Linked DNA regions of Oryzias latipes. The protein of the gene in region 1 interacts with the protein of each later gene in a pairwise test. Links are inferred from orthologs where the notes say so. Each region holds a gene or a part of one and is shown in the gene's direction. Other genes may lie near its edges. The genes, in order: liprin-alpha-1 and receptor-type tyrosine-protein phosphatase S.

Evidence for each region.
Region 2: the proteins of liprin-alpha-1 (region 1) and receptor-type tyrosine-protein phosphatase S interact in a two-hybrid assay, tested with the Homo sapiens proteins (2 studies listed by BioGRID). The link is inferred for Oryzias latipes from reciprocal best matches to the Homo sapiens genes PPFIA1 and PTPRS.

The regions. Positions count from the first base shown.
Region 1 is NC_019861.2:2,126,984-2,142,904, forward strand, and holds part of liprin-alpha-1, read left to right. Parts: intron 1-81; coding exon 82-315; intron 316-468; coding exon 469-615; intron 616-1,026; coding exon 1,027-1,161; intron 1,162-3,243; coding exon 3,244-3,327; intron 3,328-3,404; coding exon 3,405-3,536; intron 3,537-4,038; coding exon 4,039-4,101; intron 4,102-6,306; coding exon 6,307-6,380; intron 6,381-6,461; coding exon 6,462-6,612; intron 6,613-6,831; coding exon 6,832-6,837; intron 6,838-6,991; coding exon 6,992-7,215; intron 7,216-7,292; coding exon 7,293-7,524; intron 7,525-11,784; coding exon 11,785-11,814; intron 11,815-13,668; coding exon 13,669-13,793; intron 13,794-13,878; coding exon 13,879-14,051; intron 14,052-14,184; coding exon 14,185-14,278; intron 14,279-15,062; coding exon 15,063-15,074; intron 15,075-15,921. UniProt on the Homo sapiens protein: May regulate the disassembly of focal adhesions. May localize receptor-like tyrosine phosphatases type 2A at specific sites on the plasma membrane, possibly regulating their interaction with the extracellular environment and their association with substrates.
Region 2 is NC_019862.2:11,070,258-11,086,178, forward strand, and holds part of receptor-type tyrosine-protein phosphatase S, read left to right. Parts: intron 1-3,299; coding exon 3,300-3,893; intron 3,894-4,892; coding exon 4,893-4,984; intron 4,985-5,069; coding exon 5,070-5,311; intron 5,312-5,852; coding exon 5,853-5,940; intron 5,941-7,021; coding exon 7,022-7,231; intron 7,232-7,538; coding exon 7,539-7,699; intron 7,700-10,331; coding exon 10,332-10,343; intron 10,344-10,653; coding exon 10,654-10,769; intron 10,770-15,921. UniProt on the Homo sapiens protein: Cell surface receptor that binds to glycosaminoglycans, including chondroitin sulfate proteoglycans and heparan sulfate proteoglycan.

The DNA.
Region 1 (15,921 bases):
TGACCAGCTGGAAGACAGAAATGTAACGAGGCAGCAGGTCAAACAGTCGTCGTTCAATTAATCAGATCTGCCCTTTTTCAGCGATCATCCGATGGCTCGCTGAGCCAAGAAGAGGAGTCGGGCTCTGCCTTTGGGAAGGCAGGAGATCTCCAAGAGGTGGTGGACCGCCAGGCCGCTGATTTGGGCCAGATGAAGGAGCGCATGGCTGCTATGGTTTCCCGAATCAGTGAGCTGGAGGAGGACCTGGACACGGCCAGAAAAGACCTCATCAAGTCGGAAGACATGAGCACCCGCCTGCAGAGAGACCTCAGAGAGGTCCGTATGCGGCTCCAAAGCCAGGAAAACCTTATCAATGTGTTCTAGCTTGAATCTGTGTTCTGGAGACCCGTAGCAGAGTGACAGGAATGCACGCTGTTGGCGGTGCTGCTGCTGATGCGAGTTCACACATGTGAATGTTTCTGTGATCAGTCAATGGCGCAGAAGGAGGACATGGAGGAGAGGATCACCACGCTGGAGAAGCGCTACCTGGCAGCTCAGCGGGAGGCCACATCTGTCCACGACCTCAACGACAAGCTGGAAAATGAAGTGGCCAACAAGGAGTCTCTGTTCAGACAAGTATGTCCTGAACTCCAGCCCAGAACTCCTCAAAGAGGAACCAGCAGTCCATTCAATACCGATCAAATACCTAGTCTAGATATTCTAGCTCATAGCCCTTTCTGCCCTTTCTGGGGATGTTGATGTTTGAGTCTACAGATCTCAGCTGCAGGTCTTAGGGTGATTCTAGTGAATTCTTGCTGCATTCAGACTCTTCGGCACAGCGGCCTCTGAACGGAAGGCCTTGAAGACACGGGCCTGTTCTGCTGTCTGCAGAGGCCTTCCTTCAGTTCTTTTCATCATTCTTCTTTGTGGCATCTTAAATGGCCTCTTTTTTCCCTTTTCCTGCCCACTCCACCCTCCCCCCGTTCTTCACCCCATCTTCCGTATCCTTTTGTCACCCCACCCTTTATTCTTTTTTTTCTCCACTAGGCTGAGGAAAGAAACCGGCAGCTCCAGGAGAAGCTGGAACTGGCTGAACAGAAACTGCAACAGACCATTCGCAAGGCGGAGACTCTGCCTGAGGTGGAAGCGGAGTTGGCGCAGAGGGTCGCCGCCCTCACAAAGGTACCAGCACCTGTCCATCAGAAGGAAGCTGGGGTTCTGACAGTGTGAATATTATACCCATCCGTTCTTAAGAGCATATTTTTCCTCTTCTGATGTACCAGTGCTCTATAGAGGCTTTAGTTGATCACTTTGTTAAATAGAATCAGCTTTCTCTGGTTTTCTATTGAAGACAAGTTTTTTCTCCAGTGTGTCTGGTGAGCAGATGACCTGATGTTCTCTGGTGCTGCGTCCACACCGGGCTCAGAAACGTCCGTTCGAGCGACTGACTCCAATGAAAAGCCCATGTAAACACACGTTAATGCACGTTTTGGGCTTCTGCGGTCAAAACTGGCATTCACACACTGCTATGCAAGTTTTTAAGTCCGTTTTCAGGCTCTACGTACACAACGCGCCACAACTGAACACACTGTGAAAAGTAAACCCGTTTGAAAAATCAGGAATCTGGCTTTGGTAGTGACGTATGGATAGCATCCTTTTCAAAACACAGAAGTACAAATTGGCTGAAAATTGAGAGCTGAGGAGAAATTAATGATTGCGGTTTGTGCCCGGCTGGAGTTCTATGGCGATTTTCCAAAAAAATAAATAAATAAAAGCTGTGAAATGAAAGGCCTGGAGGCAAGATTCACAATATTTTCACCGCTTTGACATTCCACACCAAGCCTCTTCTCACCGTGAGTACATGCCATAGTATTGCATAGTGTCAGTCTAGTGTGAACACCATATGCACGTTCAAGAACACACCACACGAGATAAATAAATGAGAAGATGACATCACAGCAGGAGAACCGTCAGCAAAACGAACGAGGCCAAAATCTCTTATAAGGCTAAAAAATATTTCAAAATCCACTAAGGCAAGCAAAAGACACACGCCAGGCATATCCAAATGAAGTTTGACATTATTATGGGATGGCCACAGGACCTACGGCTGCACTACCGTTTTGTGGCAAAGTCTGAAATTTCAATTGTCAATTTTAACACAATATGGGAAAGAAAACACACACAGCACCAGGTTAAGTTCACAACAACAAAAGTTTCGTTGACCTTTGACCTCTGGAAATGGTTGCCATTACTCCCCGAGCATCGTTGGGAAGCTACCTGGGGGGGAAAAGTAAAGAAAATAAAAGGTGGTTTTAAAGTTTGTAGACTTTTCCAAAAGTGGCATTTATTCCCCTAATACTTATTATTACTTCATATGTAAGACACGAGTCGTTGGCTCAAGCCGAACAAAACTATATGACAGAAGATATTAACGTATTAGAAATGTGGGTGTGGTTAGCAGAAATCTCTGTCAAGGGAATCGTAAAATGTTGTTTTACCAATTTTCCTAAAAAATTACATAGACCCCCCCCCGCATGAAACGGTTGCTATGGAGATCAAGCTGACAGAAAACCTGCCATATTAGCCTGGAGGTTTTGTCCGTGTACATTTGTAGTTTGCTTCATGACTCCATTCCTGAAAGCATCAAAGTTAGGGAGGACGTCATTGATGAAGTCCATGAACGCGTTACCTTCCATTGTAGTGAACACAGGTGTGTTTGCTCTTTTGATGCCTCCTGCTGCCACTGCCTTCCTCTTTTTACAGCCACAGGAGACTCTTCCTTTCAGGGTCTGACATAAACAGGAAGAGGCTTATGGATAGCCGGCCCCAAAGGGCCCACTACTCGGTTAATTAAAAATAAAACACCATCCTGTGCAAAGTAAACAAAACAAATAAATCCTGAAAGAACTATTTCATAGCAGCCTTTCATAGAAACTCCTTATGCCTGGTTTTCAAGTTCAGCATAACCTTTAGTTCTGAGGAGGATTGGATTATTTTACTGTTCCATCATTTCTTTCTCTTTTGTTTTTTAAAAACACGTTAGTTTTAGTCATTTGATTATTTACGGAATGAGCTGAATAAATTAGTGTAGCATAGCTCTGTGGGGGGAGAAGCTTCACCTCCTCTCTTTGCTGTAAACTCTCAGCTGAAGTTTACATTCTCACAAAGATGGCCGAATTTTGTAAGCCAGGTCTGTGACGATTTCATGTTCCGACCCTGGAACGCCATATTACCAAAAACAAAGCTGCGATCATCTGTGTGCAGGCAGAGGAGCGCCATGGTAACGTGGAGGAGAGACTCAGGCAACTGGAGGCCCAACTGGAGGAGAAGAACCAGGAGCTGCTGCGGGTGAGCTCATTGGAGGAGTTCCTGTGGCCGCGTGTTTTGCGTGTGGACGGTAGAAAGGACGTATTTTGCTTTTACAGGCGCGTCAGCGGGAGAAGATGAACGAGGAGCACAACCGGCGTCTGTCTGAGACGGTGGACAAGCTGCTGTCAGAATCCAACGAGAGGCTGCAGCTGCACCTGAAGGAGAGGATGTCTGCTCTGGAGGACAAGGTGATGAGCCAACAGCATGCTCTGAACATTGACTGTATTTGAGACCTGGACAAAACAACCCCTCCCCCCTGCCGTTCCAAACAGGAAGTACCCGCTGGTTCCAAGAAGCCAAAATCCAAAATAACCACTCCTGCTCGGATGCCTTTATTTTAACATCTTCTTGCTAATCCTAATGTTTTTTTTCATATTATATACACTCCTATTCTCGTTATTAAAGCAGATGCCTCAGTAAAAGCGCGTGGTTCCCGCTAACCCCCAGGTTCCCCCTGAGCCACTTTCAGTGGAAGGGGAGACTTCAAACAGAGGCGACAGTTGTTGCTTTAGAAATCTGGACTGACCAATCACTGCCCTCTGGCTCCAAGATGGCCGCGCTGGCGTTGGAAGTGAGGCCTTTCTGTGGATGACGTCACACTCGCTCCGTCCAGGACTCTGATACAGTCAATGGTGTCCTCTCTGCCAAAGCAATGACCTCAGTGTTTGACCGTCTACCTGTCTCCCTCAGAACACTCTGATTAGAGAACTCGATCACATGAAGAAGCTGATTGAAGAGTCTCATCACGAAAAGGTATGAAAACATGACTGTTTTGTAGTTGTCAGGTTAAATGTGCTCATTACTGTAACCCCCTTTAGATCATAAATGTAACTGTAACTGTTTTACTGACATCATTAAAAAGCTCAATGTTTCAACAGCTCAGCCAGTACGTTCATTTAACAGCTCAAGGTGCAGATTTACTGATGAAAAGAACGCAAACCCGGCCTTTGAGGAAGACGGAAAGCTCTGCTGAGAATCGGTCTGATTTTTGGCTTCTTTTTAACCAAAAGTGTTGATCTATAACGCCTCCAAAGAGGCCTAAGCAGAGTGTGAAACAACGCCAGTGAAGCATTGGATCACCATTTCAGTGTGCTGAAAGAACCAAAAAAATTCAAAGGTTTTCTTCCATTCACGTGAAAGAAAAAGTTCAAACTCACTCAAGTGAAGAAGCATATGGTACAGACTGACGAACCAGAAGGTTAAAATACACAGAACAAGTCGTCTCAGGGAGCCCAAGGCAGCGATGAAAGTGAAATGCAATCAATGGTTTTAACAAACATTTAAACAGTACAAAACAGGGAAAGAGGGACCATGTCTGAGTCCTATTGAGTTGGATCCAAAAATCTATTGGTGGTGATGTAGTTGAGGGGTTTGCTGAAGCTGATGAGACGTACTTGAAGGTGTTAGTATCAGGATCTCAGGATCATGTTGTTGGGTAGCTCACCATCAAATTGAGGATCAGACACAACACAAAAAATAACCTGACTTAGAAAGGGTCTAGGAATAGAGAAATCAGTTGAAAAAAAAGCAAACCAGTTATTTCACTTCTTAAATAGCTCACATTAGCCATCAGTATTTTACAAAGCAGGAAAAACAATATGTCAACAATGTGTCAAAGTTTCTAATTTGATGAAAGTTTTAAATCATATGTACTCTGAAGTTACATGTTACTTTTATCCTGTCATCAATCAAAATAAAGATAAATCAAATTAAACATTCAAACGTTACACAACATGTTAATTCTATCCTTTACAAAAGCAAAGTGACCATTTTGGCATCATGGAAAGAAAAGTAACAACAGTTCAAAGTGGACAATTAAACTCAAAGTTAATTTCTTTATATAGCGCCTTTCATTTGAGTTAAAAACACAAAGCGCTAACATAAGAACAGATAAAATAATCATAAATAATGAAAATTAATAACAGAAAACGCAGACACACACACAGATGGGACCCCTCCCTCACCAGATTCCTCCCTCCACCCACCCGGGTCCCCCAGTAGAACCCTGAACAAACAAAGAACTGCAGCTAAAAGAACACAAGAAAGAAATTGACCTAAACATAAAAGGCTTTGGCTTGAATTTGTCCGACTACATTAACACAATTAAACCACTCACTCACTCACTCACTCACTCACTCACTCACTCACTCACTCACTCACTCACTCACTCACTCACTCACTCACTCACTCACTCACTCACTCACTCACTCACTCACTCACTCACTCACTCACTCACTCACTCTGTTTATTCCCTTTCGGGGTCACGGGGGTGCTGGAGCCTATCCTGGCCACTTACGGGCGAAGGCAGGGGACATCCTGGACAAGTCGCCAGTTTGTCGCAGGGCCACAATCACACACACACTCACACTCACACCTATGGACAATTTAGAGTTCCTAATTGACCTATGAAGCATGTTTTTGGGAGGAAGCCGGAGACTCCGGAGAGAACCCACGCATGCACGGGGAGATCATGCAAACTCCACACAGAAAGGTCCCCCAGCTGGGACTTGAACCATGCTGTCATGTTGTGTGTTAGGAGGAAAGAGAACGGTAATAAAAGAAGGCTCCCCCCAGAATAAATACTATTGACTCTTTATTAACCCACTCTGGAGAATCTAAGGGTCCAAACGGGGAAGTAAACCCTGAAGGAGGATCCACCTTCTGTCCCCCGCGCTTCTGACCACGGTCGGAAAGGAAAAAAAGTCATCCCTGGAAAGTTTCAACACCACGCTCTGCCATTTCGCTGGGAGTTTTTTCAAAAACCGCCCGTTTGCGATAAGAGCCCTTGAGTTTGGCCTGAATAGAGCTGTCACCCCCAATATGAATCCAATCGGTGACCTGCTTCCCTTCCACTGACTGGTCTCAGCAGCATCGTCCACCATGGTTGATGACGTTTGTCAGTTGAAGATGGGTTCTGCCAAATAAGGACTTTGTTTGTGAAATGTGTTTAACTCTTAGGAGCAGCTCCTCATCCAAATTGAGACCATGAGAGCAGAGAATGAGATCGGCAGGAGCAACTCCTCCCTCCACGGGTCAGCCAGTCGACGGAGAGCATTCACTCCACGATGAAGCCTGCGGCGCCTTCTTAGTGTTCTGGTTTTGTGTGTTTGTAGGCGCTCTCAGCTGGGCAGCACCCCAGATTTCAGGTATCCAGTGTCTGCGTCCTCCATGATGGACGGCAACTCCGACAGCTTTGGCAGCGCTCTAGTTCTGAGACGACCTCAGAAAGGGAGGATGGTGGCGCTCCGAGACGAGCCGTCCAAGGTGAGCTTTGACACGCTCCTGTCACATACTGTGTGCGTTTGTCCTGAGCTGATAACACGACGAAAGTGACTGGTGGCGAAGAGCTGCTCTTCTGCAGGGGGGGTCTTTGTCACAGCCTTTGTGTTGTCTCTCCTGTTTCCCTCCAATGTTTGAGCTCTCTGATGGTTTTCTTCTTCTTCTTCTCTGCTTCTTTCTGTTTGCTTCCGCTGTGGACACCAGCGACATGTAAGTCCATGTGCTTGTGGCCTGTGTGCTTGAATATTTACTGCCCCGTTTATCTCAAACTCTCGTCCTTCCGCTTCTTCATTCTCGCATCCTTCCTGCTTCACTCCACTCACGACCTTCTCGGGGTTCTGTGCTCATGTCCTCGGCGCTGCAGGTGCAGACGCTGAACGAGCAGGAGTGGGAGCGCATGCAGCAGGCGAACGTGTTGGCTAACGTGGCGCAGGCCTTCGAGAGCGACATGGACGTGTCTGACCTGGAGGAGGACCGGGAGATGATGTTCAACTCTGTGGACCTGCTGTCCCCTGCTGGTCAGGCCGATGCACAGACGCTGGCCTTGATGCTGCAGGAGCAGCTGGATGCCATCAACAATGAAATCAGGTACCAGCAGCCGCCTGCAGCGCCGACCACGCCCCGAACGCAGACCTGCACTGAGCTCCTCCCTCTGCTGCTGGCAGGATGATCCAGGAGGAGAAGGAGAGCACCGCCATCCGAGCAGAGGAGATCGAGTGCAGGGTGGGCAGCGGCGACAGCATCGGAGGGCGCTTCCGCTCCCTGAGCTCCATCCCGCCCTCTCTGTGTGCCGGCTCCTCGTTGGGCGGCTCGCCGCCCAGCTCGGGTCACTCCACCCCCAGGCGCATTCCTCGCAGCCCCAACAGAGAACTGGACCGGATGGGCGTCATGACCTTGGTATTGTCCTTCCCCTCCTAGTTGAGCTGCTCTGTAAATGTAGTAGAGATGCTGACTGTTAACACCCCCTCCCCAATCATTGGGGCTGTTAGCATTAACATGCATGTGTAACCATCTGTGTATTCTGCCCCCCGCTGCCCCACAGCATTATTGCTATGACCCTTACATCATGCAGAGCTGGCTCTCCCAGCAGACACTAACTTACTTGCCATATGGCGCCTCTGGCTTCAGCCCCCCGCCTAACACCTGTGGCTTTGCCCCACACTCTCAGGTACCTGCAGACCCCCCCCCCCCCCCCCAGTCCCCCGGGGTGGGTGCAGCCCCGTCTCTTCCTGTCTCCTCTGCTCCTTTTTACGAGATTGAAGGCGTGTTTTCTCCTCCATCCTCCTCCGTCAGATCAGACAAATGAACAGTGAGTCTTCAAAGAGGCTTCATTCAAACCAGACGTCTGCATAGCTTTAAGAGCCAAACGGCCACAAACAATTAAGGAAAACTTCAAAGGAACTGTGCTTTTATTATTAACTTTTCCCTCAGACGGTCCTGCTAAAATCCTCCATTATGTCTCAGAGTTCCCTCTCTGTGACGCTGTCCACCTTTCATGGCCTCACTGTGAAACTTAAGGTTTTATTCTTACGGCGCATTGGGTTCTGCGTCCTGATTGGCTGTAGATGAATCAATCTTCTCCCTGTCGTGTCTCCTGCACAGAATACATTCAGTTGACCACATTTACATAAATCTTTGACTGTTTTCAATCTATAATCCCGGACTCATTCAAGGTTTGAACTTTGAGAATTTAAACAAGAGAGAAGAGAGTGAAAATGTCTGAGAAACGTGGAGAACATGTGTAGTCAGGACTTTTATAGCCTTAAAGCATCTGAAATAATTGAGAAAAACAAAAGACGACTAAGATAAGGGAACAGTGTACATAAAAAAGATACTGACTGGCCTGATAGTAAGTTTGTTGTGGTTCTTCCTTTAATATTTGAGGCCTCAACATGTTGTGTTTATGGGTGTGAAGGCAGCAGCCAGAGTGTGCTTGAGCTTTCAGGTCTGTAGTGTCAGTTTAAATTCTCAAAGATGCTGCCTCTTATTTGTTTTGCCACAAAGCAGCAGTTATGTATGGCGTTCCATGGCTACCATTAGTTGAACGACCGCAAAAAGAACTGAGCGAGTGTTTTCAGGAGCTGAGTGAGGAACCTTACAGCCACATAAGCACAATGCTAACCGAGTGACCCCGCATTTTACAACTGCATGGCTGCAAACCTGACTGCGCGGCGCTCCGGCGCTCGCTGGGTTTGCGCGCAGTGAACAAGAACAGCCCCGCTGCACTTCCTGACCTTGTTCTTGGCCGTTGGTTAATGTTTTAATCCACGTTACATCCGCCGTCTGGCCAATCTGATCAACCAGAGAGGTTACCGCCCAAACACGCCCCCTAAACACTGCTTACAGGAGCGCCGCGCAGTCAGGATGGCAACAGTGCAGTTGTAAAATGCGGGGTCGCTCGGTTAGCATTGCGCCTGCGTGGCTTTGCGCTCGTTCAACTAATGGCAGCCATGGAACGCCATAGGTATGCATCTTTGAACCATTGGCGTTCTCATTCTTAAGCTGACACCAGGTTCGTGTCATAACTCTAGAGCCGTGAGGCTCTTTTGTGAGTCAGGACGGACATTTAGTCTCCTGCATCAACACTTGTTTGAAGGATTCCTTCCCTCATCCTCTGACGGCAGAATAGCAGAAGCTCACAGGGATCTTCATTTGCAGCTCTCAGGTTTATCTGAAGCTTCCTCTCATTGAGGTGCACTTTGAGCCTTTATTTCTGAGCGGATCCATGTGTGAACAGGGATCGACTGTGACGGCTCCTTCTGTCAGGGTTTTGAACACAGATACTAACCAGGTCTTTTCTGGCTCCAGCGTGATTACAGGCAGAAGTTAAGAGTTGTGTTGAGGAAAGCAGGGAGTGTGATCCTGCACACACACGGCCTGCATGCTTCGTCCAGACTGCTGCAGCTGCATGCGTCTGTGAGCAGACGGCTGCAGCTGCATGTCTCTGTGAGCAGACGGCTGCAGCTGCATGTCTCTGTGAGCAGACGGCTGCAGCTGCATGTCTCTGTGAGCAGACGGCTGCAGCTGCATGTCTCTGTGAGCAGACGGCTGCAGCTGCATGTCTCTGTGAGCAGACGGCTGCAGCTGCATGTCTCTGTGAGCAGACGGCTGCAGCTGCATGTCTCTGTGAGCAGACGGCTGCAGCTGCATGTGTCTGTGAGCAGACTGCTGCAGCTGCATGTCTCTGTGAGCAGACGGCTGCAGCTGCATGTCTCTGTGAGCAGACTGCTGCAGCTGCATGTCTCTGTGAGCAGACGGCTGCAGCTGCATGTCTCTGTGAGCAGACGGCACAGCTGCATATATCTGTGAGCAGCCGTCTGCAGCTGCATGTCTCTGTGAGCAGCCATCTGCAGCTGCATGTCTCTGTGAGCAGACGGCTGCAGCTGCATGTCTCTGTGAGCAGACGGCTGCAGCTGCATGTCTCTGTGAGCAGACGGCTGCAAGTCTCTGTGAGCAGACGGCTGCATGTCTCTGTGAGCAGACGGCTGCATGTCTCTGTGAGCAGACGGCTGCAGCTGCATGTCTCTGTGAGCAGACGGCTGCAGCTGCATGTCTCTGTGAGCAGACGGCTGCAGCTGCATGTCTCTGTGAGCAGACGGCTGCAGCTGCATGTCTCTGTGAGCAGACGGCTGCAGCTGCATGTCTCTGTGAGCAGACGGCTGCAGCTGCATGTGTCTGTGAGCAGACTGCTGCAGCTGCATGTCTCTGTGAGCAGACGGCTGCAGCTGCATGTCTCTGTGAGCAGACGGCTGCAGCTGCATGTCTCTGTGAGCAGACGGCACAGCTGCATATATCTGTGAGCAGCCGTCTGCAGCTGCATGTCTCTGTGAGCAGCCGTCTGCAGCTGCATGTCTCTGTGAGCAGACGGCTGCAGCTGCATGTCTCTGTGAGCAGACGGCTGCAGCTGCATGTCTCTGTGAGCAGACGGCTGCATGTCTCTGTGAGCAGACGGCTGCATGTCTCTGTGAGCAGACGGCTGCATGTCTCTGTGAGCAGACGGCTGCATGTCTCTGTGAGCAGACGGCTGCAGCTGCATGTCTCTGTGAGCAGACAGCTGCAGCTGCATGTCTCTGTAAGCAGACGGCTGCAGCTGCATGTCTCTGTGAGCAGACGGCTGCAGCTGCATGTCTCTGTGAGCAGACGGCTGCAGCTGCATGTCTTTGTGATCAGACGTCTGAAACAATCCAGCATGCGAGCTGCACCTCTGACCAGCAAAGAGGCTTGCCCCCATTACACGGACCTGTAGAAAAGGAGTCACATGGAACACAGAAGTCTGTTTTTCTGTGGTGTTGTATGTGCAGACAGACTTATGGTGTGAATGAGCGGGCTGCTGCGGCGCCGCCCTGCTGGCATACTTTGTGTCTGGAGTGCAGCTCTGCCCTGGGGGCTGATTGTTTTTGGAAAAGTGCACCGATTGCCCGTATGATCCGTTTGAGTTTGAAGCTGCTCCGTCTGTTCTGCTTCGTGACGGTCAGGAGTTCAGCAGCCTGTTTGTCTGCAGCAGAAAGACCTTTTTTATGTTGGTTTTAAGGAAAAAAATAAAAGAAGTGAGGTTTACAGATTTTGGTCTTTAATAAGGACTCTGTTGTACGTCTCAGCGGATTTGAGTAAAATAAGTGAACCCCCTCCGTGATTCCTGTAGGGAAAAAGTGGGAAATGCAGCACAAGTTCAGTCCTAAACTGAATGTTTGCTCCCTCCTGGGTTTCTCCTTCCTGTTTCCTTTTATAGCTGTGTAATCTCTTCCCCGGCCTGGCCCCTCCGTCTGTGGAGGGAAGGAAACGACTGATTGGGTATTTCCCCCCTGAGGCAAAGAAAGTCATGGAAATGTGGTGCTTTATGTGCTCTAATGCCAGGTTTGTGAGGAATGTGGTGGAAAGACCCCCCCCCCCCCCCCCCCCCCCCCTCTGTGCACAGACCAAACCTTCAGGTGTTTTACTGGAGAAGGCTCCTCCTCCAGGCCTTCGGACCAGCTCCGTCTTTTGAACCCGGCTGCACCCATCCCTCCTCCTCCAGAGTGACGTGCTGCAGCTCTGAACGCTTTAGGAACGAACTCTTTGTGTGTCTCTTGGTGTGTCTCTGCGTTTGTGTTCTTTGTTCCTCTGCTGACGTCTCACTAACTGCTTTGTCTCCTTTCTCCATTTTCTGCCTCTCGTCAGCCTAGTGACTTGCGCAAGCACCGCAGGAAGGTAAACCAACAACAGCCTGCAGACCAGAGTGAAATGTTTTTACCCCCACAGTCTGTTCATCCTGTGACGCCCCCATCTACTCTTCAAGTTTACGTTGTGTCCCAATTCCTTCCCTACACACCATATAGTGTACTCGCCATTTTGTAGTGCTGTCCAAATCCAAAATCCCAAAATCCAGAGCCCTGGAAATTTCCCAGAAGTCCCAGCGTTCATCGATGCTCACTGGATCGGTTTATATAGACCACAATGCACTGTGTCGGAACAAAAAGTATTTAAATGTAGTTTTTCTCATAAACATTTTTATTTTTAGAAAACATCATAAATAATCGTCACAAGATGCTCATCTCAATTAGATTCTACCTTTGTGAAATCAATGACGTCGTATCCGCCGACTAGTGAGCATGGCGTCCGAATTGCTTTTAAAATCCAGGGCACTACATGGTGCCCCACTATCTAGTTTTTTTTATAGTTATGGGTTAGGCCGGGAATACGGACACAGCCATAGATTCAGACAGCACTACAAAATGGCAAACGCACTATGTAGTCCACCATGTAGAGAGTAGGAACGCTACTCACTACTCAACCTTTGGTTGGTAGCGTTCCTACTCTCTACATGGTGGACTACATAGTAAGGAAGGAATTACCGTGATTGGGTTCATATCTCTCTGATTGTTTTGCCATTTTTCTTTCTTACGGAGCCTTTGAGAAATAAAACAACCTTTGCCACATACTCGCCAAAATGAAAAAGCCATCTTGAATTTTATTTAAAACAAAAACTTGCCTTTAATACCAGCTCCAGGTGGAAACTTCTCCTAAGGATTCTGATCGGTTACCTCCTCACCTCCTGAGTTTTGTTGGGAAGCATCGTGGGGAAAAAATATTGGTTTTAAAGTTTGTACATTTTGAATGGCGTTTGCAAAAGTGGGATTTCCTTGTTCCTCGCACATTATCAACCTGAATATAATGCAAATTGAATGCATCAGTCTTTAGCTCAAGCTGGGTTAGGGTCCAGGCAGGGGGAGCGGCACCATCGTATGGTCATTTGTACGGTTAGCTGAGATGCGCGACTTCCTTTAACGCTTAAGAGGAGAACCCACACTTTGCTTTCCCTGAATAACACGCTCTTTGACCTTCTGTAACCTTTCAAACATGAGCGTGATCAACGTGAATCCTCTAAATCTGTCAGAATTCTTCAGAATGCGAGTTACGGTATTGGAAGGAACGTAAATGCTGGAGCTAAAGTTCATCAGAGTTCATCAGAAACGGACGCTCGTCAGCCGACGCGGACGTCCCACCGTCCCTTTGCTAGCTTACAGCCCCTCACACCACTAGCCCTAACATAAGTGGTACATAAAGAAAGGCTACCAATATTAGAGCTATCCAGCTGTAGACTTTTGAGCCAACTAGCTCACAGGGAATGATGGGATATCAGGAGAGGCGGACCTCTGCCCGCTCGGATGACGTACATGTGTGTCTGATAGTGGATGCATGGGACTCCAGCGGAGCAGGGAGGCTCTGGCCCCGCCTGTTTCAGCTTTTTCAAGCTGCTTTTTTGGTCTGCTGCTGATTCAATACTCAGAAATGCAGTTTTAATCAAATTCTTTTACTCATATCCTCCGGCATGAGGAAAAACGCTACAAAAACATTTTCATTGGAGTGGGTCTTCAAAGTGGGTCTTCTGTCCTTATAGGGGAAAATAACATCCCATCTTTTCAAACCGTAGGTGACTTTTTTTGTTCTGGTTTGTTTTCATAGTTCTGTTCTGGTGCTCTCTGTGTTGATGTCACGTGTTCTTCAGCTGTGATGGAAACACTGAACCTGAACCTGTTTCTTGTTTTTTCTGCCATTGCTCAGTCCTCTCAGGACGACAAAGCCACGATTCGATGTGAAACCTCGCCTCCCACCACTCCTCGCTCCATGCGCCTGAACAGGGAGACAGGCCACGCCTCCAGCCATGAAGACATAAGAGACATCCGAGGGTGAGGCCTGCCTGCGCTTGCACTCGCTGCTCCTTGGTTTGTCTGGAAAGGCAGGCTAATCACCCGCTGGGTCTTGCTTCTGCAGTCTGAGCAGCCTGCAGGACGGTCAGGGCAGCAACCCCAGCAGCAGCAACAGCAGCCAGGACTCCCTCAACAAGGCCGCCAAGAAGAAGAGCATCAAGTCTTCCATTGGACGCCTGTTTGGGAAGAAGGAAAAGGGCCGGCCCAGCCTTCCCGGCAAGGATGTGCCAAGCCAAGGTTAGAGCTGAGGCTTCACTCCATCACAGTGCTTAGTTTTCACAGGATCAGCAGAAAGCCCGGCTGTGCTTTTGTTTTGGTTTGAATGAGTTGCTGCCGTCCGTCGTCCTGCTAAAGCTCTGAATGTTCCCAGCTGGCACCCCTGAGGCGGAAGGATCTCCAAAGGAAGGCCTCGGGATGGGCTCGCTCGGAGGACCGGCAGAGAAGAACCGGAAGCTGCAGAAGAAGTGAGTGCAGATCGGAACCGACAACACAAACGGACACAAAGTGGTGCCGGTTTCAACAACATGGCCTCAAATAGAAGCCGTGGTAGTGAAAGGGATCCGGAGCGTCTCCAAGGCTTCCCCATGGCATCACGCCAACGTGACGGCGACCTGCTCCACTCATTAGAAGAGCTGCACCTGAGCTGCCTCACTGCAAACATCTGCTGCAGAAATGCAAGAGTAAAGAAGGAATAGTAGAAAAACTGGACCCATGTGATGCTACAATCCGTGACAATTCATGTTAGAACACATCATGTGTAAACAGGCATGATGGAGTCACACATCCATGAACGTTGTTGTGACCAACTTTCTTCTTGTTTTGGGGTTTTTTGTCTGAACTTTTTCAGGTTAGTTTCATGCCGTCCTGGTTTCTAGAAAGGTCCTGCTGTGTTTCAGAGACGTAGATCTGAAGATGCTGCCTCCACCCGCCTCATCTGCTTCTCCCCAGTATTCAAACTCAACATTCAGCTTCCTTGCATTATTTAGCAGCGGAGGCTCTGGATGGTTCTGCTTCCACCGTAGAGCAGGCCCGCCTCACGCTTCTCCCCCCCCCACACCACCACATTCACTGCCGTCTCCTCACCTCATCCCACCGCTAGGCGTTTCCATCCCAAATCACTGACTGTTTGCCATCGTTTTGAGTTCTCCACCACAGCTGTACTTTTGCTTCTGTTCATTCTCTGTTTCTTTGTCAACATCCTTACAATTGTTTTTGTTTTTCACCACCTTCTTCTCATTCCATGTGTAGTCCAAAGACGGGGTAAGTTGGCTCCCATTGTTTAGCCTTATCTTCTTCTTTTCCTTTCCCTGGGCTTCATGTTAGCCGTCAGGACCCCAAACATGTGTCCCCCTGATTGCCTGACGGCGTCTCCATGCCGCTCTTCACCCTGCTTTCCCACACAGGAGCTTAACTAACAGCAGAGTGCTTGCGCTGAGTTTTAGTGGGTGAAACCTTTCCCTTTGGAGCATGTTGTTGGCGTGCACTGCAACGCCGGCGGAGACCGGTCCCTCCTCACAAAGATCTAGGAACGTTTCTGCGCACAGTCTCAATTATTGAAGCCTCCGAAGGTCGGGCTTCATCTTAGCGACAGACTTAGTGCCTCATTTACTGGTGATACGCGTTTCTGACGGTTGGTCAGAATCCGTGGTTCTGCCCATGACCAGCTGAGAATGTGCATGAAGTGAATATGTAGGGGTTGATGGTCGACGAAGTGTGCGTTATCAGAATTAACGTGCTTTGTGACGGTTGCTTCCACGAAGCGCGTTTATTCTGATAACACACACTTTGGAGGTGATTAATCTGCTTATACCATGGTCACTCACAAAAGGAACTAATTTTTTAAGCGTGCATTATGACTTTGTAACCCTTGTGCTATCCTAAGCACTTTAACATTGGGAGTTGGGTCATCTAGACCCACTAGACAGTGTTCTGAACCTTTCTCCTTCAATGATTTGTGATCTTCACTGGTGTCCATGGATTACATGAAATCTTTCCACCTTCATCCACCTTTGTCATGGTAGGGAGAACACGTGCATGTTAGGATTGGGTCATCTGGACCCCATACGATAGCACAAGGGCTGATGCACACCCAGCAGCCAATCAGAAT
Region 2 (15,921 bases), on another chromosome or scaffold:
TAATGCCGTGGTAGCCATGTTGGTTCAGGGTACTCTTTTACACTATAGAAGACACTAGCCAAAGATTCAACTGAACAACCCCATATCATTACACTTCTTCCTCTATGTTTGACAGTTGATATCACACACTTAAGGGTCATCCTTTTGCTTATTCAACTGGGTACAAAGATTTTATATGATGAACCAAAGATTTTACATTTTGATTCATCAGCCCTTAACGCTTTCTTCCAGTTTTTAGTTGTTTGATGGTGGTGGGTCCTGTTCCAGGCTAGCCTTTTTTTTTTTTTTTTTGTGCCATCTTCATTTCTTTCTGCAATTTTTCCTATCAAGTCTGCAGCTTGAAGTCTTCTTCTGTTGACAGAAAAAGCTGAAGGTATTTTACAAGGACTACAGTTAGGATGTGCTTCAGTCTGTTGGCCTATGAGCCACCTACCAAGCATAAATAAAGTTTCAGAAACCTGTTATTTTATTCAGTTATGACTTTGTGTCTGCCAGACCTCTTCCTGTCAAGGTTTCACCCAGTTTCAAAGCACCTTTTGATGGTAAAGGGAACTGTACTCACTGACACCTTGACTTTCAGCACTAGTATATAAGTTCAACTGAAACACATAAGGGTTTGGTACCACAGTGCATTCCAGCGCTGCAAAATTGTTTTTGGTAACCCTAACTACTTAAAACAGTTATTTGCTGGCAGGTTGCAATTTATTTTGTACCATTTCAAGCTATTCATTAGACTTCCTCACTATATTTCTAGCTAGGAGGCTCTATAAAAAAGTTTTCAGTAATAAAGAAGGTGGACTGTTACTAGATTTATCTTTCATTCTCACACATTTTTTTCTTGTCTTTTATCTGTTTTTTAAGTCCCTATTGGCTAGCTGTAACCACAGTTAAATGTTTGAGTGATCTTTCTTTGGTTAAATTTGGCACACAAAGTTTCAGCATCTAGTTTTCCTTGTTTTTAATTTTGCACATACAGATAGGGCTTTTGTTTTTAATTTTGCACATACAGATAGGGCTTTTTTTAATCTATTGGATATATTTTATGAGTGTACATCAGTGGAAGTTACAAGAAAAAAATAAATAAATAAATGAAATCACCTTGGTCTCCGGCAGGCAAGTCTATGTCAACAGCAAGCTCTTAATACTATAGCCTGATGGGAAACGTGCCGAGAGTCAGTCAAAGACGGATTGAACTGGGGTCGACCCTGAAATAGACATATTGGGTGGGTTTACAAAAGAACAGCAGGGTTGGAAAAATGGAAGAAGAATCAAGGTGACCAGAAAATCTTTTTTTTTTTTTTTTTTTGATCATGTGAACGCACAAAGTCCCACACATATAGATCAGGCTACTCATATCCCCGTTTGGTCTCTCCTTGTGGCTGATTGCCCCCTGTCCTTTTGTCACCTTCATCATCCCTCATCCACTTGTTGTTCATCCACTCACCATGCCCTGGCTCTCCTATAATCATCCTGTGGATTCACTGGTTTTCCACTTCTACCTTTTTCCTGCTCATTTTAAAAGTGAAGCACAGAGGTGGGAATACACTCACGGAATGACTCGGTCACATTCACAGATTTTTATTTCCGTGATTAACAGTGGGAGATGATGGCAGAGTGAGCTTTTAAACCACACTGAGATGAAATCTATGAGCCAAAAGTCCTGGGAGGATTCTTCCATTCCTTTCAATACACTTAGTGAAAAAAGTGAGCAGACAAACCACCATCTCCCCTCATCTTCAGACCATTAGCAAACAGAAATTAAAAACGAAGGGATGAGGATGTGGTTGGTGGAGTGTATACTGTGGTGTGTGTGGGTTTTGCTGCATGCACACATTCACTGACACCATGACACTCTTCCATAGAGGCAGAGTCTTATTGCCTGAGACGAATGTTGGCCTCTTCAAATTACTTTAAGTCCATGCCGGGCAACAAGCCAAATTGCTCTGTGTACATCTGGAACGGCAATATAGAGGATGAAGATGGCTGCACACTCGGGTCTAGATGTGCACAAACTGCTGTTGCACATGTAAATACTGTGCACAATAGTCCCCCAAAGCTGTTGTTTCTCACATAGGATGCACACAGGCGGTCAGAGGAAGGCCGTTTTTATTTTTTTCCCCATTTTCATTTGTTTGATTCCATTCATGCTTTAAATTTGAATAAAGACAGTTTTCTGTAAACCCTGTCTTTGCAACTATCAGAGTGACACATTTAGATTATCAATAAATTAAATTCACAAAGCTAAAAGAAATAAACCTTTTATGACTTTTGCTATGCTGCTCATCCATTAACAGATCCCGAAGTTCAATCAAGAGCCCCAAATGACTAAAAACTTTTAATGGCTTTTATTTTTCCATTTCCATTTGCATAGAACAAATAATGATGATGTTACATAATGGCAAGTGTAAGAACTATTCAAAATAATGGAGTAGTGAGATTCGGGGTGCAAACATAAACACAAAGAAGACCGTCCTTAAATGCTATTGAGAGAAATAGAAAATTTTCCGCAGCCACATTCAGACACCGCCATGTATTTGTTCTGCTGCTATGGTTATTTCCGAGGAAAGAGATGCGTCAGACAGGGAGTTAAAAAATATAATCTGTTTATGATGATATGATGCTCAAAAGTAAATCAGCGACACACATCTCTCTGAAAGCTTCTGACAGTCAATTGAGAATTGAGAGCTTCTCTTTGCTGATATCTCTGTGATGAGACCTCAAAAGGCGGGTTCAGATGAAACGTGTGTCATCTTTAAGAGTGGCAAAATGGGGCCACTCTGAAGAATGGAGACTGGGCCCTACGGGTAGATCATCCATTTTGCAACAAGACCTGCCTGCAACTGAAAGATGCACTGTTTTTCCTAAACTTTAAGTGATGCTCAGTGGAGCCGAGGGACTTTGGATGGATCTAGAATGTGTTGAAATGATAACAGAATCAATTGGATCATCCATATCTCCATGCAAAAGCATCATCTCTTTGCTAGCTTATGGATTTATTAAAATCAAGCACCACATACCTTTGTTAAAATTTCATGCATGCCAGTGATGACCATGATTAAATAATCTCAAAGAATAAACTGCAGGTTTGTAGCTTGACCCATTTTGAGCCAAAGTGCCTTTTTAAAAATGCAACTACAAAACCTTCATGTTGCAAAGGAATGATGGGTTAGGAAAGATCAAAGTTATTTTGATGAAATGTATACGTCCTTTTAATGGTTATATCATTGATTTAAAAGCATTCTGCATTCTTATACATGGAAATAAATAAAAATGTTGTTTTTTTGTTTGTTTCTGTACAGTGCCTGGTCCTCCTTATCTCTCGGTGGCTCAGAACTCAAAGACATCTGCTGTTGTTCACTGGGACCCTCCAGACCTGACCAATGGCATGGATCTGCAGGGTTACAGGCTCCAGTTTGGCCGAAAGGACATCACCCCTTTGGCCACACTGGAATTTGCTCCGCAAGAACGTCGGTACTCTGTGGACAACATTCATCGGGGAGCCACGTACCTCTTCAAGATGGCAGCCAAGAGCAGAGGAGGCTTCGGGGAAGAAGCCGTGGCAGAACTTAGCGTACCTGAGAATACGCCGGGTGGATACCCTCAAATTAAAGAAGGCTCTAATGTAACATGCTGCTCTGTGCTGCTGTCCTGGTCTCCACCGGTGTTGGCAGAGAGGAATGGAGTCATTACGGAATACACTTTGGTCTATAAGGAAGCCGGCACTGGAGAAATACCACGAGAACTGCGCTTGCATCCAAGCCTGTCCAGCTATGTGCTGAACAGCCTCAAACCAAACTCTGCCTATGAGGTGAAAATGCGAGCGCACACCAGTGTAGGTCCAGGGCCCTACAGCCCACCTATCCAGTATCGGACGGTGGCCATTCACCCAGCAGGTAGGGCTTGCCTGTTTCTTTCCAATCCCAGTGGCAGGGGGTTGGAAGTAGGCTAAGAACAATCTGCAACAACACAAAAATGAAAACCGCCCCTTCCACTCTTCCAAACACCTCCACCTCCTTTTAAAAGAATGAAGATTGATGTTTAACCTGTTTGCTGTTGGACACTCACTTCACTAACCTAAAACAGGTAAAACTGTAAGTCAGTAAGTTATAGTCAGTCAATTTTGGAGGTCAGCCTAGAATTTTAAGGTAAGTGCAGTTAAGTCACTCCTGTCAGTCCTTGCAGCGCTTTTTGAAGCGCAGTCGTGCAGCTAATGCAATCCCACAGCCCCAGTTTTCAAACAAGGTAGGAGCTTAGTCACTCCAAGAGTATAGCCATTCTGGTAAAGCAGAAGTCTGATTTTTGATTTGATTTGATTTATTTATTTATTTGTTTTTGTTTATTTTGAGACATTATTCCTGTCCCCTCCAGAGGCTTCCTTTCCGTCCCGTCCCCCCCCCATCCTGCTACAGGACAGCTTGTGGCATGGTATCCCACAGATGCACTGCAGAGAACATTTGGCATGCTTTGTTCTGGGTCTGTCTTGTTGCCTGTGTGGCTGCACGTTGGCAGTGCCAAGTCAAACTTTGCACCAGTGTAAAAACAGTTGGCGGTCATTGGAAATACGTGGCTCAGTTGCTAATCATCGAGTGGTCTAAGTGAGTGGTGAAATGGTTTGGCACTGTCTACAATGGCTAGCCAAAGGGCACACCCTTGTGCTCAATGGGTTTTTCGTCCATGAGTCTTGCGTGCTATGTGTTTTAACCAATAGCATTGCCTGTCTCACAGCTAATCACAATTCATTAATGTGCTCACTCTTCAAACTAGGGGGAACGTTGCAAGACAAGAGGAATTAACTTTTTAAACCAAAGGTTCTTCCTTTTTGTTTTCCTTGATCTGGTTTTGCTAATAAAATGCGCTCTTTTTTTTTGTTTTTTTGTTTGTCTTCTTAACAGATGTTCCTAAAAACTTCACTGTGAAGTGGGCCACCAAGACCACAGTAGTGCTTGGGTGGAAGTTTTCTGAAAGGTCGCCGTATAAATGTGTGGTGAGTTAAGTGTTTCAGAAAAACAATCTCTTGAGAAGTTGAGCTGTATTTTGAATTTTAAGACTGACAAACTTCTAAATTCCAGATCGAGTATGCCCACCAGAAGAAAGATGTGGACGCCCGGGAGTTGAAGGCCTTCATTAAAGGGCTAAGGCATAACACCACTTATGAGTTTAAAGTGACTTGCCAAGAAAGCACCAATAGTGGGCCACAGCATCGTGTGACAGCCAGAACCGCTCCGCTTCTTCAAATCAAGAAGCCCACGGTTTCTGAGAGAGAGAATGTGCTCATGATGTCCTTCTCACCAGTAAACACAAAGGATGTCAAGTGAGTATTGAGACACAGTGTTCTCTTATTTATCGCGGGGGATACATTATGTAAATAACTCGTGATACGTGAAATCCAGGAAGTAGAATTACAGATGTTTTAAGGCAGGAACGCCCCTTAGTACACACTTTATACACGTAAATATTTTCCCACTTTACTGTCTTGTTTAAACTCTCAAAGATGAAATGTTTGAAGAAAAAAACTCTCCAGTGTTATAGAATGACCAGGATTAATATTTGTGTAACTCTGGCAAGCTGCATGGGAGAGATTGATTGACAATAGCAACAGCCAATCAGGACGCAGATCACAGTGCATTGTTTAAGGAAAAAAAAGCTTACAAAGTTGCGCAAAACAGAAAGACTGCAAAAGATGATCTGTAATATAACGAGGGAACCCTTTATTTGGCCTCTGCTGTTCTGTTTAAATTATATTGAAGTGTCAGAAGAAGTAGTTGTTTTGGTTAAAAGTATTTTATTTTGTGTTGCTGAGCTTCAAATCAAGCTTCTTTTTTTTGTCTAACTCCTTTGGCGCTTCATTTCAGGAACTTCTATGTGGTTGTGGTGCCAATTAGGACAAATTCAGGAACCGTTAAAAACCTGATAAACCCTGATGAGATGGACATGGAAGAGGTGAGAGCAAAATCTAGGTACACTTGTGGACATAGGGTGATCAAAATGAATACAACTCATAGATGGAGTAACAGGAAGAATTTTCAGGGAGGGATTCTGTTTGTGTTTCCCAGCTGTATTGTGAACAGCCTGTACTAGAATGTGCACATGCAGCTCAGACATCACAGCTAATGCAAATGTATCCCCAAAAGCATGCAGAAGAGAGCATTACAGTCCATATCCACTCTTCCCATAGCTTGGGGTCTGCAGCCTTGAGCTGCAGATCAGCACGGCAACCACCCCCCCCCCCCCCCTGTTAAATTTGGGATTACACACATCCTCTCTACTTAGCGGTTGCCTCTGTCTGTAGTTGGAACTAAGTGTGCGGGCTTGGATGTGTGTGTGTGTTTTGTGTTCTTTTTTTCCCATATTAGGCAGCTTTTTAAAGCCAGTTTTTTTCCCTTTGATCTCAAACAGTGCACCGAAAGGCTTCAAGCTCTTTTCACCTCCCTTAGACCCTCAAGTAAACATGTTCAACAATAACTTATAACACTTAATCCTACCACATAGCACTTTGGGGAAAGGGCTGCTGACTGTGACAGTACAACTTGTGCATTTTTACATGAAAGCAAGAGCTTCTTTTATCATGCAAAAAAGAAAAAAAAAAAGAGTAGACTAGAAATCTTAGACTGTTTATGCGGTCAACGTAAAGCAGCCGGTTGTATCGCAGACAAAACAAAGTCCCTTTTCTCTGCAACAAAACCAGCTAAATGATATAATGTAAACACTTTACCTCTGTAAAGTAGTAAAAGGCTTCTCTTTTCAGCTTCAGAATCCGCTGGAATTACCTTAATTGCATAAGCGGTTGACAAGTTACAGTTGTTAAAGGAATGTCAACACTGCAGCTAAAGCGCCGCTGTTAAAGGGTTTATTTTTGCCATTTTGTTTGATTTACAAATGCTAAACATATTTCTTTGAATCATGGGAAAATTTGTTAGATTTTCTAGATCTGTTTGTACAGTTTAAAAAAAGATACATATTGGATTGAATATACAAAACTGGATGCATTGGGAAACCAATTAAACCTCTGCATGTTGAGCAGCTTTTGCGGGTGGTCCCGAAGCACCGCTCACGCCGGCAGCTGGCTCAGCTAGACCAGAGGGATGCCTACATCACAGCGTGCTTCAAACAGCTGCCCCTCAGCTTCATAGTGGGATCTGACAATCGCCACAACAGCTGTGAGAACAAGCCCCTCGAACCTGGTCAGCAGCATGTCTTCTTCCTGCTGGCTGAACTCAATGCCACCGCAGGGGTGAGTTTTGGATCCAATCAGTCTCCCCTTGCAATCAGTAAATTTCACCATTTTTTTTTTTCCAGTTTTGATGTATTCTGCTTCAACTTTAGTCATACAAATATTTTTTTAACAAAATTGTGAACACCTAATTTTGAGTAATAATTGTGAGTTCAAAAGGTCCTAGTACAACTACTGGTTGGTATTTTTGGTTGAAAATGTCAAAGTGACTTTCATAGGACTGCCGGCGTGTTGGTTTTCCAAGCAGAACATGTAGATGTTACCAAATGTGCAATGATTGTAAACGTGTTATTTTTTCTTCTTCTAGAAAATGTTTGCAACAAGCCCCTACACTGACACGGTGATGAGCCCCGAGCTGGTGGTGGATCTGCCAGCAGAGCATGATGAAACCCAGCTATGGGTGGTGGGCCCCGTTTTGGCTGTGGTCTTTATTATCTGCATTGTCAGTGCCATCCTCCTTTATAAGAAGTGAGTTTTTGCTGTGTGCAATGTTTTAGGCAACATTCAGACTCCAGAATGTAAATGTGAGACTGTTCAGCCTCAAATGATAGAAGGCAGCTGTCAGGCTTCACTAAAACTCATATAAACTGGAATTTATATGAGTTCATTCTGCATTCCAAAAAAAAAAAGAAACTGTTTTATAGAATATGTTTCCCGTCATTTAGTGGGAAAACATCTTTTTCCCATCGTGTTTGATGATGAACAGTCATAAACTGGAACATCATTGCATGTCAGGATGCATGTCAGAACAGGGGCAAATCTTTTTATTAATTCCAGCATGGAATTCTTAAGGACCCAAGTACTTTTTTGCATGGAAGTATGACAAAGTTGGAATGTAGAGGAGAGTTCATCACGGTAGTGAGCTGGTTGGAAAAAGAAGAGATGAGATTCTGTGGGATGATTTGCAATAATAGCTTATTGAAGCATAGTGTCTAAGAGTATTTCAGTGTTGCCGAATACCATTCCTGAATCATTGGAATTGAACATTTCTCTATAGTTGGTAAATTTGTTTTAACTCTTTAACACCAGAGATACTGTCAGGGACACCTAAATAACACGCTTTTTGAACTACCATAAATCTTTGATCGTTTATGGAATTAATGTAATTCCAATGGATTCTGAATCAGAATCCATTGCGTTCATTGGTTAAACAGTCAAAGGGTTACAATAGTCCAAAGAATGTCAAGACAGGAGCTTGAAGAGTTAAGAAACCTAAAAAAAGAAGATTCTAAGGTTTTTATGCACCTCAGATGATGGAAAAAAAGTTATTTGGTCCTTAACAAGTCCTGAAATTTAGTAAATGTGCACTCTAAATTTATATTTACACTGCCCTCTGCAACGATCGTTCAAGCAACCACTTCCAATGAAAAGTCTATATAAATCCCCTTAAATGTTTTTTTTTAACTTTCATGTTAAAAACTCTCGTGTTCATGCTTCGCTACACAAGTTTCTACGATCCTTTTTGGGCTGAACATACAAAATGCATTTCAATTGAATGTACGTTGACAGTTAAACCAAGTTAACTTTTGACTAATCAGGAACCCGGATTTGGAAGTGACGTGTAAGTGTCCCTTTTAATTCACAAAAGTGAAGATTGAGCATGGAGGAGAAATTAATAACTGCAGTTTTTGCCCAGCTGTAATTATAATAATCCATTTTATTTTTTATTATAAAGCGCCTGGGTGGGTTTGAGTCTGTATTTAAAGATAGGTAACGAGTAAATGATACGGAGGTCCAGGGGGAGAGAGTTCCACAGTTGGGGTGCCAAGTGGGTGAAGGTTCTGCTCCCTATGGTGACCAGTTGGATGGGGGGGTACAGAGAGCTTCAGAGAAGAAGACTGGAGAGAGCACGAGGGAGTGTAGATATGGAAAAGATCATATAAAGAAGGTGGGGCCAGGTTATGGAGAGCTTTGAAGGTGAGAAGAATACGTTTAAATTATATTCTGAATTATGACACAATGTTAGTTATGAATCGAAAAAAGAATAAAAAGATGCCCCTCCCTGGTTGTTTAGCATGAGCCCCATGGGCTAAATGTGCATCCAAGAATGCACGTTTGGTGCATTCTTGGATGGGCGTCACATGCATGGTGTGAATGTAGCATAACTGTTATTTAAAGACTTTTACTCATTTTCTTCCACATCCTTTCTTTCAACAGTTAAGTTTCAATGAATTTCTTTTAAAATCAGCTCTCAGAGTCGACTCTGTGCGGTTGTGATCTGGATTTTGAAATAGTCCATGAGCAATCTCTGTGTTTCAACAGCACAACAAATTAAAATCATTGCACCTTGGGAATGTTGACCAACCCAATAATTTTTTTCAGAGGAAACCATACCAAGAATCAGTCAAGACAATTTGATATCTGTCATTTTGTGTCTGTCTGTTCTGTGAGGTTGTATTAACCTGATTGAATACCTGATAAGGACCAGATCTTTTTTTCATGTGCTCATGCAGAGATTCTTTAAAGAGAACTATTTGTGTTTATACACTACAGTTAGGTTAGTCAGGAAAAAAAGCAATGCATTTTCTTGAATCTTATTAACTCAGTCCTCAATCACCAGAAAGGGAATTCCCTGCAATATTATAACTTGCCAAAAATTGCACAAGTCCAGTGCTCTATTTTCAGATTATCCCTTGTTCTGTGACCTTACCTAACTGTCGTTTTAGCGTTTGGGGAGTGTAACATCTCTCCTTGGATCTGTCTCTTTTTTTCTCTCTTCTTTTTCTGTCCATCTTACATTTCCACCCCTCCCCATCCCGATGAATATTATGTCCCGGGTCTGTTTGTGGCCCTGATGTTCCCTGTCCTGCCCGTGTCTGAAAACTTGTGCGTCCACACTTAGATGTACATACACACGCTCATGTGTCGACGCCCTTAACTGCGCATTTCATTGAGAACTTACTCATTCTGACCCAGTGTTGTACATACTGATGAGCCTTTTCTGGCTTTTTGCAAGCCCAGCAGTGACCCCTGTAAATTTTAAACTGCTCTCTATTGATTTGTACTTCTTCTTGCCTCCCCTTCTCCCTTTCTCCTTGTGTGTTGTGTTTTTATCATCTTTATATATTTATTTGACTCCTGTTGCTTTCTCTGGAAACAGCAAACCAGACAGGTAAGGCACAGTGCTACTTAGACTCAGTGTCATTTACACGAGAGGACAAATTAGCCTGTCTCAAAAAAGATGAGGTTTTTTAAAGGGTGATTTAGTAAATAGGATTGTTTTGTTTTTTTTGTACTTTCTTTACAAACTCTACTTTGTTGCGTCTTTTTTAATATGCAGTATTACCAGTTTCTCACATCACAGATTAGAGAGTGTTTTTCTGTTTTGGTTTCTGTACATTCATTGCTCACCAATCAAATTCTGTCGTTTTTGTTGTGCGTCTCCCCCACTTTCCGCCTCTTTTGTTCGTGTTACCGTCCAGCCACAAAAGAAAAGAGTCGGAGCCTCGCACCAAATGCCTGCTCAACAATGCAGACATTACACCCCATCACCCTACAGACCCTGTGGAGGTGAGACGCATCAACTTCCAAACTCCAGGTAAGTCACACGCTCAAAAATGCGTTTTTCAATCTGTAATTGTGTTTAAGACAAGAATTTGCAAAAATCTCATGTGGTGTTTAATACATTATTATGTTATACAATAGCAAATTTAAAGTTGTAATTTAATGCCCTAAATTACAAAGCTATAGAAGACAAAAATAAAAACTCTCCCTCTTGATACTAGATTTTTCATTGTTATATAAAGCTAGAAAATGCAAATTAGACAGGATATTCATGTAGGGGAGTATAAAAGAGCCATAAGCTGACACACAAAGTCAAAAAGCAGCCACATTCACATTATTTTGCTGGATGTTTTTTTTGTTGCCTGCAGGCTATACTTAATTCATTTCCATATCTCTATGTATCAATTCACTATCGACAAATAACTGTATGCTTGAAACTAAGTCTTGTGTTGGCCTGAAAACCGAGTATGCTTGTTCTCCAGGGTTTACAGACATCCATGTTTCTCTTTTCTATCTCTCTGATGTTTGTCCAAACTTTATCTGATGTTAGCGACGCAACATGTTACATCATGTCCGCGTTCTGCGGGGCCTCCATGGCTCCAGCTCATCTAAGATCTTGCAGAAGCATTTCTCGCTCAGACTGTCTGTGCTCACAGGCCTTGTGCAGTTTGGCTTCAGTAGCTACACTTTGTTTTGTTTCATCAAAAAGCACATATCAGACAATTCAAGTTTTGTTTTCTTTGTTTTGTTTTTTATTCCACATTTTCATGACCAGCTACAAACCATGAATTATAAATATGTAAATATCTCACATTTTAGCATTTGGCCTAGTTGTGGAAAACAGGAATCATTTTTAAGTTTTGTTCACTTCACTACAAGAGATGCATCCAAATCTTGAGAAACTTGTCATTTTTGTTCAGATTTGTTTCCCCTCCATTGAGGCAAACTTATAGAAAAGGAGAATAAGCTCCAGAGGTGGCAAAAAACATTCTGTTCATTTTTTTTTTACTCTTACCCTGCTGTAGCCTAGCCTAGATTTCTTTCAGCTATCCATCTGTCATACACGGTCAGTCTCTGCACCATCAAAAGACTGCGTTTTCAAAATAGAGCATTTCTGTTCAGCTTCTCTGGGAGTCAAGCTGCGATCTGTCTCGAGTTTGCGTCTTTGGGAAAAACAGACTTCTTTATGTGAAAGAAGAGATGCTGTGTTGAAAGGAGGATGCTTAAACTCACGTAGACAAAGGATGTTGATCTTCTTTTAACCATTCTGTTCCCCTTTACTTTTGAGAAGAGGTATCAATGATTCTGAAGGATCTCTCTCATCTTTGAATAGTAAAAATCTTTATGATGATCCTTTAAGTCCTTTATTTTAATACTCATCAGTATACTTGGAAAAGAATACTTAAAATATGAACACTATTTTTAAACTCTGTCATTGTTGCACAGAACTGGGTGCTGTTGTTAACTTCACACCCCAAGAATTTAATTAGAACAGACATTTTAGCCCAATTTACTGGGCCGGTGAGCATTTCTGAATATCCCCATCAGCTAATAGCGAGCCATTGTTCAAATGAGCATACTCCCAGTTCAGTTATCCAAGCCCTTTTCAATCCAGCAGAGCATATGCTGCTTCGGCTATGTGAGCTCGGTGACCCGTGGTGCTGAGAAACAGGAATTACACTTTAAATGGGGTACCAATGAGCAGAGTGTGTGTATTTACACTGTGAGCACATGTGTGAATGTTTGTGCTTTAAAGCCTGTAAGTGCTGTGACAGCCTCACAATGATAGTCTGAAACTCCTTGAGGCAGAGTGTCTGGTTTTGTCATTGTCTCCTTTGAAGCCATGAGTTTAATTGGCATAGGAGTCCAAAGTAATAAAGCAATGCAGCTCAATGGATCTCCATAGTTTATCTCCAACCAAGCTATTTTTTTCCCCTCACTTTTTGTCAGTTTTATTTTAACCTTCCATCGGATCCACAGTCTATAAAATGGCAAACCATAGCAATTAGCAATCATCCCATAAATGCAAACCAGCAGCCAGTAAATACACTTTTTTTTAAAAGGACAATTCCAGCAATTAGCATCACCCTGCAACAGAAATTATAAGTAAGGAAAAGTGGAAGGAATTTGATTTTCGAATAAGAATGTGCAGTTGAGTGCAAACTTTTGACTTTTATTTATAAAATTAAAATAACCCTATGTATTTCAACACAAGCAGTGGACAAGGGGCATTGTGGGAGTTTATATTTTTAGTGATTTTGAGCATCGAGCATCAGCGTATTTAAGCTTGTTGTTTTGGTCATCTTTTAGTGTTGTGTTAGTTAAATTTTATTATCGCCATTGACTGTATATAAGAGCCGGACCGAGTCAGAGTGACGTCACCCGTAGAAATGAATTGCTTCTAGCTACAACGAAATTAAGTGAATGCATTAGACTTTTTTTGCAATACAGATTCCCCTATATTGGAACCAGAAATTGTCAGTAAGCTTTGATTTGTCCGAGACGGCTCAAGTCAGCATTTCAATGGTAATCACTCTTGCCAGTCAGGAGTGAGCTTGTTGGAAGTCCACACCCCTATCACTTGATAGCGGACTCTGGAGAATCTTTCAGATATTTTGAACGTTCGATGTGAGACCACATTCCAACAGGATCTTCCTGTTTGGATCGCGAGGGGGGGAGGGGTCATTCCATCCAGTTTTTACACAGTAAAATGGCGTGTGCTTGTATGGCGCTTGTCTACCTTCCTCGAAGGCCCAAAGGGCTTTACAGTGACAGTGACTGTATGACACAATGACTGGAGAGAAGGATCCAGTCACAGAGGCAAGGGGGGGTTAGGTGTCTTGCACAAAGACGCTTCAAAAACATGGGCGGGCAAAGAGGGAATCGAACCAGCAATATTCCTATCAGAGGTTGACTGCCGTGCCACTGCACCGCGGCCGCCTCCGATAAAATCAGACTCAGTCGGCCACAGCTAGAATGAGGACATTGCATACAGAAATAAGGTGATGGTGCTGCAACATGATGTCATGATGGTTATCATGGAGGATTTGCTTACCAAGGAATAATAGGAATCTGCTGCACCATAATTCTGAGCGTCAAGGTGCTGAAGTTCGAGGTGCAAAATGCACATTTGCCACACAGAATTATAATTTAATGTTTATCCAAGGAAAGGAAGAATAGTTTTTGGAACAAAGGCTTGAACTTTTTTCAGTTAATCCGGCTTGACAGTAAACTTGACGCATGTTGGTTTTACATGAAATTGCAGTCAATTCTAATACGTAAATGAGTGACTTGTTCTCTAGTGCATAGCTGGTGATTATTATTATCTGCTGTTACTGCGGAGAAAATACTTCATTTATTTGCATTTGGAAGTAGTTCATGTAACTTGTATAAATCTTCCTGATGCTCTTTTCCTTTACAACAACAAAACTGAGCTTTTTTCCCCCACTGTATAACCTTTAACTTTGTCTGAATGACTGTTCATTAACTAGCAAAATGACTTGCTTGGCTATGACAGAACTGTCTATACTTCCTTTTGACACTAAATGCAACAAAGGAGCCATTCAAGTTTTAAACATCTTTATTTCTTTATAGTCGGGTAACAATTTCTGCAAAAATACCTGTAGTTCAAATTGCATAAACAGTTTTCTGGTTGGTCCAAACTTTGTAGCCTGTTTAGACCCAGTCGACTGCAGTCGTTGGAAGCAAACAGTAGAAATGATTACTTTAGACATTAAGACTTTACATATACATTAACTAATATATTGTCGATGCATTCATAACACTAAACAATTGCCCAGGAAAGTTTTAATTAGTGCTTTCTTATGCATTAAGTAAAGTTGAATAATAAACATAATTGAATTGCTATTTGATGCCTAAATGCATTAAATAATACACTTGCTAATGCAAAATAATCCATCAGAGTGTCTGTTAACACATTATTTGTGAGTTAAATAATGCTTAATCATACATTAACATTAATAAATGATACAGTAATGTGAAGTGTTAGCAGTTGCCCCTCTACCTTTCAGTTATGCCTCTGCCTCAGTGAGACTTACTTACTTTTGTTAATAATTATTAATAAAGAGCTTTTGATCTTTTATTTGCTGTTCAGACGGAGTTTCTAATTATCTAATATTTTTTTTACTTTTACTGCAAGGTTTTTGTACGTGACTGACAGAGTTGGCATTTTGATTACCCGTGTTGGAGCTGTTTGTTTGACAGCTACTATGACCTCTATGTGCAAAAACAACTTAAAGCTCCAGTTAATCAAACATGCAGAGGGATCACTGTGTGGCGGGCCTGGGTACTGCAGCATATTTCCTGACAGCATGTCTTCAGTTCATATTTGATATATTAATCTATCAGTAATGTTTAATTTAATTTGAAAAACAGCATTAATGCAGTTGTGAAACTTTGTCTACCAACACATGATCTCGTGTCTACAAAAGTGGAAAAGAATGTCTCATGTTGACTGAAAAAGTCCCACCAGCCAGTTGCTGGCACCAACAATCAGCTTACATGTTTCCTCTGATTACAGCAACAACTACAACAAGCGTGCCCTCCTCCTCACGGTTCTGTGGAATCGCACACACCACTCACTTACACATAAACAGCATCAGACAAGCCTGTTCCTCCCCCCCTGCTGTGATGAATGACGTTTGCAAACAGCGGATCACAACACCACCCGCTAGGCTTAATTAGTCATTGTCACAAATCAATTAGATGGAGGGGGATGTTCAGTGTCTTCATCACTTTTGCTCTCGATTGATGCTCCTGGTCCGATATGTTTCCACCAAGACGCTGTGAAAGGTAAACTCAGATGGAGCTTACAGCTGTTTATCTTGTTAAATGACTAGAGAAAAATGTCCAGATGTATCACAGAAACTGAAGCTTTTTTTGGCTTGCGTTGGGTTTACAAAATCAATTCCTCAAATTATACTGACCTTGATTTAGGCGATGCAGTATTGAGCCATCAAATCCATAAATCTAATGTCTTTTAAAACAACTCTTTGTATTTTTTCATGGAAAACACAGTTTCTTTGTTAGTTTTCAGTGTGAGAAATAAAAGAATCGACTTTTCTTCAGTTTAACTCTTTAGAACTGAACAATACAGATTTTAAAATTGGAATTTTTTCTATATTTAATTTAAATCAAATTGAACGCAAACAACAACTTGCTTCTAT